Oryzias latipes: one gene and its partner. The protein of the gene in region 2 binds, or shares a complex with, the protein of the main gene of each other region. Links are inferred from orthologs where the notes say so. Each region holds a gene or a part of one and is shown on either strand. Other genes may lie near its edges.

Region 1 (5,524 bases), on a different chromosome or scaffold from region 2:
TTCACGGCTCTGTTCCCATGAATGTCCGGTCTTGGTGTCAAATTAATACGGTCGCAGTTGTTAACGTCTCCTTCATGATCACGTTGGCAACGCTTCATGCTCTCGTGTTTGGAAGTGGACGCCACCCACACGTCACTAAATCAGAGTCCCCGATTGGTCACAGAGCTACAGAGCTGCATCGCTGCGTTCAGCATGAAAAAGTTCAACCAGTTGAACCGTCAGCGCCACCAATGAACGCCGGTTTGTGCGCAGAGCTCGCCACTGGACTTTAAAACGTACACAGCAACGCGCGATCACCAGCGTTCCGGACGCAGGAACCTGGAATTCTGGTCTAGACTGGGGGAGGAGCCGGTGCACGCCGGACACGGCTGCAACATGTCCTTAACGTGTTTCTGAAAGGAATGAGACCTCTGTCCGTGCTTCAGGAGGATCTAGAGACGTGATTGGGGGGCTGTGCCCTGGAGACCACCTAAGTCATTTACTGTAGAATATTTTACTGTCCAATAAAGTGAAACCATGTTCATAAAAATATTGCTCTTACTATTTGTATGGGAAGGTTAGACGTGATGTAGTGCAGGGATCATCAAGTTAGCAGCTGTTAGGACTTTTTTGTGCTACGGCTCACCTGAGACCTTTAACGTTTGATCTTTTATGAGGAGAAACTGAAATCCATGAACTGTACATGTCAAATTTCTGTGAACCCAGCTCACGCATACATACCAGTACCATGCCAGACAAAAGCTGATGTGAACTATGCGAGTGGCGCTCGCGGACCCCCCAGCGAGGGTGTGAGGAAGCAGCAGCAGCAGCAGCAGCTGATGTTCTCCAAGTCTGACATTTCACAGCCGCATCAGGGATTCCAAAGGGAACCGTCAAGTTCCTCTCTGAGCCTTTACCTCCACATACAAGTTTTTTTAATGGCATGTTGTTGTTTTTCCACCAGAACCAAACTGTCCTCACCGTGTCGAGGCTTTATTGCATCACTACACGCACACAATCCCCGAAACACAAACGCACATCCAGACGGATCACATGGAAGTGTTCTGACATGGAAAATGGGAGATTAATGGACAGACACATCAGAGGAGAACCAATCAAACTGCTTTTTATTGATTTTGACATTCAGGACCAGAGAAGTAGAGAAAGAGGAAACCGGCGGCGGTCCCCCCGGCGGCGTCCTTCCAGGCAGCCATCATTAGGGGTTGACCTCCAGCCACATTCCCACCGTCTTCGCTGTAGAGTCTTTTACTAAGGGCAGACCGCAGAGATCACGCCGCTGCATCGTCCTCCTGGGTCTGTAAGTTAATGGGCCTCTACAGGAAGACGGCGTGTCTTCTGTTCACTGATGGATGGATTGAGGTTTGAGAGAAGTTTGCTGCTTTTTGCCAGACTTCGTTTGTTTTTTAAGTGTGAGTGCATCTTCTAATGGCATATTATTGTTTAAGTGCATCTCTGTCATCTTTGACCCGCTGAGGCATTTCAAAGTGCTTCACAAAACCCCATAAGCTTTGCACCACACCCAAAAATTCTATAAAAGTCATTTTTACTAAACTGCAGGGACAGCAACCGGCTAAAGGCAGACTTTGCAGCTTTCAAACAGTTTCTGAGGACTGTAACATGTCTACGAAGAAGAAAAAATTATCTTTAAAAATTCAAGATAAAATTTTATATAGATAATAACTCCTGATGTGTTTTTATTGGTTCGTTTCATGTCATTTCGTTTCATTCTTGCATCAGACCGTTTGCGTCAGTGTGGTAAACTGCTGTTCAACAGTCGCCGGCAGGGGGCAGCAGAGGCGCGCGGCGCTCCAACTGGTCAGAAACACGAAGAAGAGCGCGCGCCGTGGCCGTCATTGTTTTGGTCCTCCGCCCTGCTGCTTTCTGCAAATCTGTTAAAGAGGAATAAATATTCACGGAAATCTTTTTGTTCTCCAAAATCAGGTGAGTTCATTTCGTATTTGTTCGGTTTTCTGAGCACTCTGTTGGCGCAGGCGCACTACAGTACCGTGTTTAGTCAAAAGTGAAAGCATATTATTTTCCTGCAGATTTCATCATAAAAACATTTAGTTTTTAAAATGAAATATATTTGGGACATTAAGGTCTGATAATGTTTCATAGATAACTGCGGTTAAGGTGTAATTACGTGTTTAGACTGTCCGTAAAGCTGTAATAAAGGCTCGAGCAGGTAAAGGGGCGTGGCTTCAGACTACATTCCACTTTTGAAAAAAGTCAAACTTGTTTTATTAGAAAAACTTTTACGAAAACCTTATAATAAACGTAGGGAGATGTAATAAGTCCTCATGCATAAGCAGACAGACTCCATCAAACTTTAAATCATCAGGAATTTCTGTTTGTTTGATTTTTATCTTTGATTAAAAAATAAGAAATTCCTAAATGTGTTTGAGTTCAACGAACATCACCTACTGAGTTTTCCTCCATAGCAGCATTTTAAAATGTCGTTCAGAGCAGCAGGATCACAAAGATGAACTGGATCCTAGAAGAAAATACAGATGACTGCATGTTTTTGGTTAATTTGTCTTCATTTTTGTGCTTTTCTGACCAACTTTAACCTGTTAATTCTAAAAGGAGAACAATTTAAATCACTTTAGGTGCAACCTTTGTGAAGAGGAGCCAGATTTATGCTGCTTTCTCAGCAGCCATACTATAATAAATGCAAATGAGTATTTTCATGTCTTCACAGAGAACAGATCTAAATATGTTTTTACCTAAATGACTGTGAATGTTTATGAATGTTTATATTTGAAGACCAGAGATGAAAAAGTCTGTCTGGAAAATTTTGGTCAACATTAAATCTGAATTTCTATGAAATGTTACAAACGATTCACTATTTCCAACATAAGTCACATGAATCTAAGTTATTCAGAAGTTCAAATCATTTTGGTTTAGATCTCAGAAACAATAAATCTCCTCGTTTGGCTCTGAAGCTCAAGCAGCTGCAGGTTGTTGGTTTTAACCAATCAAAATCCAGAAATCCTCAACCTTAGAAAGTTCTGAAGATTTTTATTGATTTAATGACAGGAGCCTGCAGAACGGGCTGCATATGGCGCTTGGTCCGGACTTTGGACATGCCTGCTGTAGACCGTTCTGTCCTGCTTCTGGAGGAATCATAAAGAAACTGATTGTGCAATAATTCTGTGAGATGAGGTATTACTCAAATGGACGAGTAATCTGTTACAGGTAGAGTAACTTGCAGGACGCTGTCATCGTCTCTGTCTGCAGCTGCATCATCGGTACAGCCGGTCACCATGACAACCAAGCGGGGACTCATCACTGACTCCTTCAAGGTGGTGAAGAAAAAGAAGAGAGAAAGGAAGCAGGAGAAGAGCCCCACGCCGCCCCCCCCTCGGACAGGTGGGGATCCTCCGGGTGTCCGCTGATGTGCGCGCCGTGCACGAGCCACGCGGCGTGCACGAGCCACGCGGCGTGCACGAGCCACGCGGCGTGCACGAGCCACGCGGTCACAGAAAGGTCACCTGAGGTCACAGAAAGGTCACCTGAGGTCACAGAAAGGTTACAGGAGGTCACAGAAAGGTCACCCCGGGTCACTGAAAGGTTACAGAAGGTCAAGAGTCCCATGAAAAGTGTCTCCTCCTCTGTCAGAGGGCTGTAAAAACGTGTTCTGTTTCTCTGAGTACAAAAACAGACGAGTATTGAAGAGACAAACTGTAAATGACATAGAAATAGAATCTTTACAGACATAATTATAAAGAGACATTAAAAAATAAATTCTACCTTTCAGGACTTTTTTGTTTGAAATCCGTTTTCTGCTTTTGCAGAAAATGTTGCAGACACCGTCCAGCAGGAGGCGCTGCAGAAGCTCAGAGACTTCGACTTGGAATTGAGATTTGGGCCGTGCACAGGTATGGAAGCAGATGGGGGGGCACGCCTTCAGTTTGCAGCTGGAGCAGCACTGGGGGGGTGGGGGGGTGGGGGGGTCTGGTTGATCTATAGGAAGCAGATCTAAACGTGTCTGCCGGACTTTGCTCCAGCCTCTAGAGATCACAGGAATGCTTTCATGTTAAATAATTAAACCTACTTTCCTCACATTTGACCTGAAATGGGAAGAAAAGAGACGGTTTTGGGGGAGCATCTCCTCTTGGAGGGAGGAGTGCAGCTTTCCTTCTCTGTTTTCAGGGATCAGTCGTCTGCAGAGGTGGGAGAGAGCAGAGCTGCACGGCCTGGACCCCCCCGAGGAGATCAGGGAGCTGCTGCTGAAAGCCCCCGCCGACCCCGAGTACAGCCTGAGGTGACACGTCCTGAAAAAACACACACTGTCCTACTGTTACGGCCAGCTCGTCTGCAGGCGGGTCACAGGAGTCCGGGTCACAGGAGTCCGGGTCTCAGGAGTCCTGGCAGAACCGCAGCGGCTCCTGAAGATGATCAGGAAGAAAATGCTTCTAAATGTTGAAATCCGGCTTTTCCACGTTCAAATAATGCAGACTTTCTCTAAAAAACGGAGATGATGCACTAAAAACTCTGACATCAGGGATGATTTTTAAAACTCTTTAATCTCAGACACAGATTTTTATCTTCTTTAAAAACTCTGACTCTTCATCTCCTTTATTTTCAGCCTGTGGAGCGAATATCCTTTGTGAGTCTGGAGGAGGAGGAGCCAAAGCCTGCAAAGTTCCACCTTTTTACGCCGTTTATCATCATAATGATCATGTTTCTGCATCACAACACGTTCTGTTTTTATGGACCGGTTCTGTTTTATTAAACAGGTTCTGCTGATTCTCTGGCTGCCTATGTTGTTGGGGGGGGGGGGGGGGGGGGGGGGGGGGGGGCTCTTCAGGTAATGTCACCTGCTGAATGTTTGGTATTAGAATCTGGAGGTGGGCAATAACACACAGATCCAAGCACCGTGTGATGGAAGCCACGGGCTCCACTCACTGACACACTTTTAGACTTTTTATAGCCGACCCAAATTTCTTTTTTTTTTTTAATCGGTTCGTCTATTTTAGGATCAAGTCTGAGGAAATGGACCCAAAGCCACTTCCTGCATTCTTAACTGTTATATTTTATGATGATCAGAAAAAAATATCAATTACTAAAATCCTAACCCAAAAAAGTGAATAACATTGTTTATATGGTATATTTATCGTTAGGAACGCTGTGTCATTTATTTATTCTGCAACATTTCCATGTTTTCTTTAAGTCCCGCCTCCAGAGCTCTCTGATTGGTTGCTGAATGCGTCACGCTCTCACCTCGGACACTGATTGGTTGTCATGGCTGTCACTCGAACAACTGAACGCGCTGACAGCCAGAGGCGGGCTCCGACCCCCAAAAGGAGCCTACTGATGCTTTATGGGCGGGGCTTCGCACGCGGAGTTTACATTCCGTGTCCTCTCATTGGTCAATTCAGTCTGCGCTAATCGCGTCTGCTACTGAGCAGCTTCAGACCATTTTTCAATAAAAATCCCTAAGAAGTTCTCTGGCATCTTAGTCCGGTCATTTGAATGAGTTTAAAAACGTAAAATATATTCAAACTACGTAACAGGACGA
Region 2 (5,787 bases):
CGGCTTTTCCCATCAGGGGTCGCCACAGCGAATCATCCTTTTCCACCTCACTCTATCATGAACATCTTCTACCCTAACGTTAGCCAACTTCATGTCCTCTGTTAAGACATCCATATATCTCCTCTTTGGCCGTCCTCTTGCCCTCCGGCCAGGCAGCTCCATCTCCAACATCCTTCTACCAATATATCCACTATCCCTCCTCTGAACATGTCCAAACCATCTCAGTCTGGCTTCTCTGACTTTGTCGCTAACACAGGCAACGTGAGCCGTCCCTCTGATGTACTCGTTCCTTATCCTGTCTAACCTGGTCACTCCTAAGGAGAACCTCAACATCTTCATCTCTGCTACCTCCATCTCAGCCTCTTGTCTCTGTCTCACTGCTACCGTCTCTAACCCATAGAGCAGAGCTGGTCTCACCACTGTCTTGTACACCTTTCCTTTGAGTCTTGCTGGCACTCTTCTGTCACACAACACTCCTGACACTTTCCTCCAACCGCTCCAACCTGCCTGCACTCGCCTCTTCACCTCTTTTCCACAATCCCCATCACACTGAACTGTTGACCCCAAGTACTTAAACTCCTGCACCTTCTTCACCTCAGCCCCCTGTAACCTAACACTTCTACCTTGATCCCTCTCGTTCAGACACATGTATTCTGTCTTACTACGACTGACCTTCATGCCTCTTCTTTCCAGAGCAAACCTCCACCTCTCTAGCTGTTCCTCCACCTGCTCTCTACTCTCACTGCAAATTACAATTTCATCCGCAAACATCATTGTCCAGGGAGATTCCTGTCTTACCTCGTCTGTCAGCCTGTCCATCAGCATAGCAAACAAAAAAGGACTCAAAGCTGATCCTTGGTGTAGTCCCACCTCCACCTTGAACTCCTCTGTCTGACCTACAGCACATCTCACCACCGTCATACTTCTCTCATACATGTCCTGAACTACTCTGACATACTTCTCTGCCACTCCAGACGACCTCATACAGTACCACAGCTCCTCCCTCGGCACCCTGTCATACGCCTTCTCTAAATCTACGAACACACAATGCAGCTCCTTCTGACCTTCTCTGTACTTTTCCATCAACATTCTCAAAGCAAAAATGGCATCAGTGGTGCTCTTACGGGGCATGAAACCATACTGCTGCTCACAAATCTCCACCTTCTTCCTAAGCCTGGCTTCCACTACTCTTTCCCACAGCTTCATTGTGTGGCTCATCAACTTTATTCCTCTATAGTTGCTGCAGTTCTGCATGTCACCCTTGTGACATGCAGAACTGCAGCAGATAAAAGAAATTAAGATAAAAAGTAAATAAAACCAGGTTTTGGCAGGTATTTCATGACAACAATTTAAACGATAAGTTTATTGATTCTGTTTATAACAGTCGGTTTCATGGAAAGTAGTTTAAACATAGCAAACAAACTCATCAAATGTTTTAGAAGAAATGTGACATTTTATTTACTTATGTACTATTTTTCCTTCTGCTTTGATTAAACAGGTCAACATTTGTGAAATGTATTGATTTGAATTTCTGATTTCTGGTCACGAGTTTGTCACAGCTGATAGTTTATTTAACTTTGCAATAAAGTGAATTTAAACTAGAAGAATACATAAATGCTTATTCTCTTTTATGTTTTACTCTTTATTTTAATTTTCTAATTTTTGGGTATTTTTTCAAAATAAAAGAAGAAAATAAAACAAAACAAAAAAAGAGTTTGAATGGTGCCAAAGTAAACCCATAAAACAAAGACCTGGCAAACAACAAAATGCGTCCTGCTATATTATAGTTATCGTTGGTAATAGTTTAATCTTAGATGACTTTTACACAGCCGGCTCACCACCAGCTGAAGCAGCAGCTCATCAAGAACACGGATGGCTTCCACACTGCCAGCCTGGGTCTTCTTTGTGAGGTACTTGGCCTGAAACAGGAAAAAAAAGGCATTTGATAGTTAAAAGTAAAGTTCAAAAAGTCAACTTATCCAAAATAAGGACAAAGATGATAAGGAAAGTCAAGTGGTTGCATGTCAGGGGGGATGACCTTTGTTGATGCGTCTTTATCCTGGGTGTTTTGGCTCAGGAGGTTTCCAGCCAACAGAACCCGGGAAATTGCTGCTGCGCCGCTTTGTTCGCCTGTGTCTCCAAGCTGACCGGTGACCATGTCAACCAGCAACTGCAGCCCCAGCATGCTGTCAGCATTGTGGCCCCCTAACCCGAGTCCTGAAGCCAGGAGGACAAACCTGTGCCAAGACAAAGCTTTAATGAGCTGCAACCCTTAACTGCAAAGGTTTACCTGTGCACACCTGAGCTCACCTGTCTGAGCTGAGCGCAGGTCTTGGTGTCTGTAAAGGAAGATCAGCCATGCAAAAGTCCTCAACGGTGAACTTGCCATCGTTCTTTTCAGCTCCATATATTGCAACGACACTACCTAAGAGGGGCAACTTTTTTTTAACATAAAGAATTTATTAAAGTATCAAATATCATCAATTACACTGACCTGTGACACACTTATCTTTATCAAATTTGCCCTCCAACTTGATCCTCTGGAGTTCATCCTCTAAAATCAGCTCATCTGCTTCACTGATGTATTTGGCTCGTGCAGGCTGAGGCAGCAGATTGTGCTGAAAAACAGACGTCCAGGATCTTTAAAATGAAAGGAACAGATCAAACGTGGCTTTGTTTATCCAAAAAAGACCAGACTCCTAACCTCTTCACTGATTTCCTTCAGGATGGATGGCTGCAGCTCCATTCGCTTGAACAAGGTCCCCACAATACAACACTGCTCCCCCGGTTCTAGGTCGCACAGTTTCTTGATAAGAACATTAGATCCTGACAGAGAAGAGGGGGAAAGAAGTATTGGATAATCAAGTGATGGTTAAACTGGCATGCTAACATGATGAACTCACCCCACTTCTGCTGAGCTCTCTCTGCCAGCAGGGGCCTCATCTGCATGAGTCTTGCTGCATAAATGTGAGCATACTGACGACTAAAGCTCCTCTGACCAACTCTGTAACGATCGGAGTACAACTCGTAGGGTAGTGATATCCTTTCGAAGGTAGGGCCCTGCTCCTCAGAGGCAGGGCTGCAGAGAAGAGAGGGGCCATTCTTCTGGGCGCTCACGTCAGAAAACATGGTTTTCCTTTAAAGGAATTAAGTAAAGGAACATTAAAATCCTTGTTAACCAGTTGAATGTTTAAGATTCAGCGTCCCCCTTTACAGCAACAACATATTATGTCACTGACTCATTTCCCTACAAATAACAAAAGTAGAACAACAATACCTTAAACGGGAAGTCCTTTTAGATGTTTTAAGAAAAAGCGCAGTTCCCGCGGAATAGCCCGCTAAAGCTTTTATCGGGAAGTCTCGCGAGACGTTAGTTATGTCTTTCCAGCATATCGTTTATCTAATTAATGTTTTTGATTGTTTATTTGTTTGCTTGTTTGTTTAAAAAACGGTATGAAAATAACATTTTAAAAGAAAACGTGAATGTAATCGTTTTACAAATATTTTTTTAAATAAACTTTATTGCACAATATGCCATTTTACAAGGATATACTTTTAGGTATGCAATAAAAACACAACTGCAAATATCAAATACACATATTTAACAAACAGAAGAATAAGAATAGAAATAAAAATGAGCCAGGGGTTTAAACTCTAAGAGAAATCGTCTTACAAAGATGCCGTCAGGAAATTTTAAGTAGATGTCGCCTACATGTGACGTCACACAACCGTCAGAGCAGCGCACCGTGTCGCCATTTTTGTTACTCTTTGTACGACATTGTTAGCCCCTTGTACTGCTTTTCAAAGCACACTTTACCAGATTTTTTGACTTCTTTGTCAAATAATGCAAGGAAACAGAGGCCCTCAGCATAACCACGGCCACAACCGCCAGGGGGAATACTTCAAAACCGAAGGACCTAATAGCAATGGCCAACAGCCGGAGACCAGCGAGCAGACCAACCCCAACGCGGCCTTAACCATGGACCTGCAGAGCTTCAGGAAACCCGGAGAAAAGACCTTCACACAGCGGAGCAGGCTGTTTGTGGGAAACCTACCCACAGGCGTCACAGAAGATGACCTGGAGAAGCTGTTTGCAAAGTATGGTAAAGCCAGTGAGATTTTTATTAACAAAGAAAGAGGCTTCGGCTTCATCCGCCTGGAAACCAGGATCATAGCTGAGATCGCCAGAGCCGAGCTGGATGATCATGTATTCAGGGGCAGACCTATCCGAGTCAAGTTTGCTACGCACGGTGCCGCTTTGAGTGTAAAGAATTTACCAGAGTTTGCCTCCAACGATCTCCTGGAAGAAGCTTTCGCTATTTTCGGGCAGGTGGAGAGGGCGGTGGTGATTGTGGATGACAGGGGGAGGCCCACGGGGAAAGGCATCGTCGAGTTCACCTCAAAGCCCGCAGCCAGGAAGGCTCTGGATAAATGCAATGATGGTGCCTATCTTCTCACAGCCTTCCCCCGACCCATTACAGTGGAGCCCATGGAACAGTTCGACGAAGATGAAGGACTGACCGAGAAGTTGATCAACAAGAACCAACAGTATCACAAAGAACGGGAGCAGCCACCGCGTTTTGCTCAGCCGGGCTCCTTTGAGTATGAATATGCAATGCGTTGGAAAGCCCTGATGGAGATGGAGAAGCAGCAGTACGAGATGGTGGACCGCAACATGAAAGAAGCTCAAGAGAAGCTGGAGGCTGAGATGGAGGCAGCCAGACACGAGCATCAAGTGATGCTGATGAGGCAAGACCTGCTGAGGCGGCAGGAGGAGCTGCGCCGGATGGAAGAGCTCCACAACCAAGAGGTGCAGAAGAGGAAGCAAGCGGAGCTCCGGCAGGAGGAGGAACGCCGGCGGAGGGAGGAGGAGATGAGGATGCGCAACGAGGAGATGATGAAGAGGCAGCAGGAGGGTTTCAGAACCAACTTTTCTGAAAACAGAGAACAAGATATGATGATGCACATGGGTGGTCACGGGTTGGGCATGAACAGAAATTCCCTAGGTGGGAATTCTGGACCTGCCAATGCTGCTGCTATGGCTACAGATAGCGCTCCGATGATGGCAGGTCCAGCAAACAACATGCCTGTAGGAGGACAGAGCGGCTTCCCCCGAGGCCTTCCGGGGCCTGGAGACTATAACAAGCAGCGGAGATTTTGAAGAGCTTCTTCCCTTGTCTTACTATGCTCACTGTAATTTTCCATTTTGGGTAGAAAGTGTTACTTTTGGACTTTGAAATGTGCATGTGTTTTTTTTTCTACCGTTTTTATTTGTCCTTTTCATTTTATTTTAGTACTAATATGTCATAACTCCAAATGAGCCATGCATTTTCAATTGTTTCTTACATTCACTAGATAGAGATGGAAAATGTTTCTTTGTCCTAAATATGTCAACTTTTCTGGAATAAAGTCATGATTCCTTAAAAAAAACATTGTCTCATTATAATAAACTTATGATTTATTTATCCAACCTTCATTGATCCAGGCAAAACAGATTAACAACAGCATTCTTATTTTCAACGGTGGCCCGATGAAGTGTCATAAACACAGAAGCAAATACTTCACATCCAGCCTGTTCATCCATTCACAAAACAATATCTGATGGCACCAGTGCAAGTATTTGATCTCATTCGGTACATGATCCTCAACATAACCTGAAGGATTCCGTGCAGATTTATGTACAGAGTGAAGAACACTGAACTGGTAATCCAGTGGTTTGCTACAGTAAAGAAGATGGTAAATATAAATGTAGAAGCTATGAAAACTCCATATGAATGAATTTAACTG

What was found.
Region 1: pold2 (region 2) and pold4 share a complex: the UniProt entries of both Homo sapiens proteins name them as parts of the tetrameric DNA polymerase delta complex. The link is inferred for Oryzias latipes from reciprocal best matches to the Homo sapiens genes POLD2 and POLD4.

What each region holds. Positions count from the first base shown.
Region 1 is NC_019859.2:1,162,723-1,168,246, reverse strand, and holds pold4 (DNA polymerase delta subunit 4), read left to right. Parts: upstream 1-1,807; 5' UTR 1,808-1,941; intron 1,942-3,198; 5' UTR 3,199-3,266; coding exon 3,267-3,372; intron 3,373-3,797; coding exon 3,798-3,881; intron 3,882-4,155; coding exon 4,156-4,267; intron 4,268-4,591; coding exon 4,592-4,616; 3' UTR 4,617-4,753; downstream 4,754-5,524. UniProt on the Homo sapiens protein: As a component of the tetrameric DNA polymerase delta complex (Pol-delta4), plays a role in high fidelity genome replication and repair.
Region 2 is NC_019867.2:18,720,369-18,726,155, forward strand, and holds the start of pold2 (DNA polymerase delta subunit 2), read right to left. Parts: upstream 3,402-5,787; 5' UTR 3,278-3,401; intron 3,137-3,277; 5' UTR 3,130-3,136; coding exon 2,904-3,129; intron 2,827-2,903; coding exon 2,705-2,826; intron 2,619-2,704; coding exon 2,495-2,618; intron 2,426-2,494; coding exon 2,311-2,425; intron 2,238-2,310; coding exon 2,039-2,237; intron 1,920-2,038; coding exon 1,839-1,919; intron 1-1,838. Other genes in the region: nono (non-POU domain-containing octamer-binding protein), read left to right, coding at 3,845-5,161. UniProt on the Homo sapiens protein: Accessory component of both the DNA polymerase delta complex and the DNA polymerase zeta complex.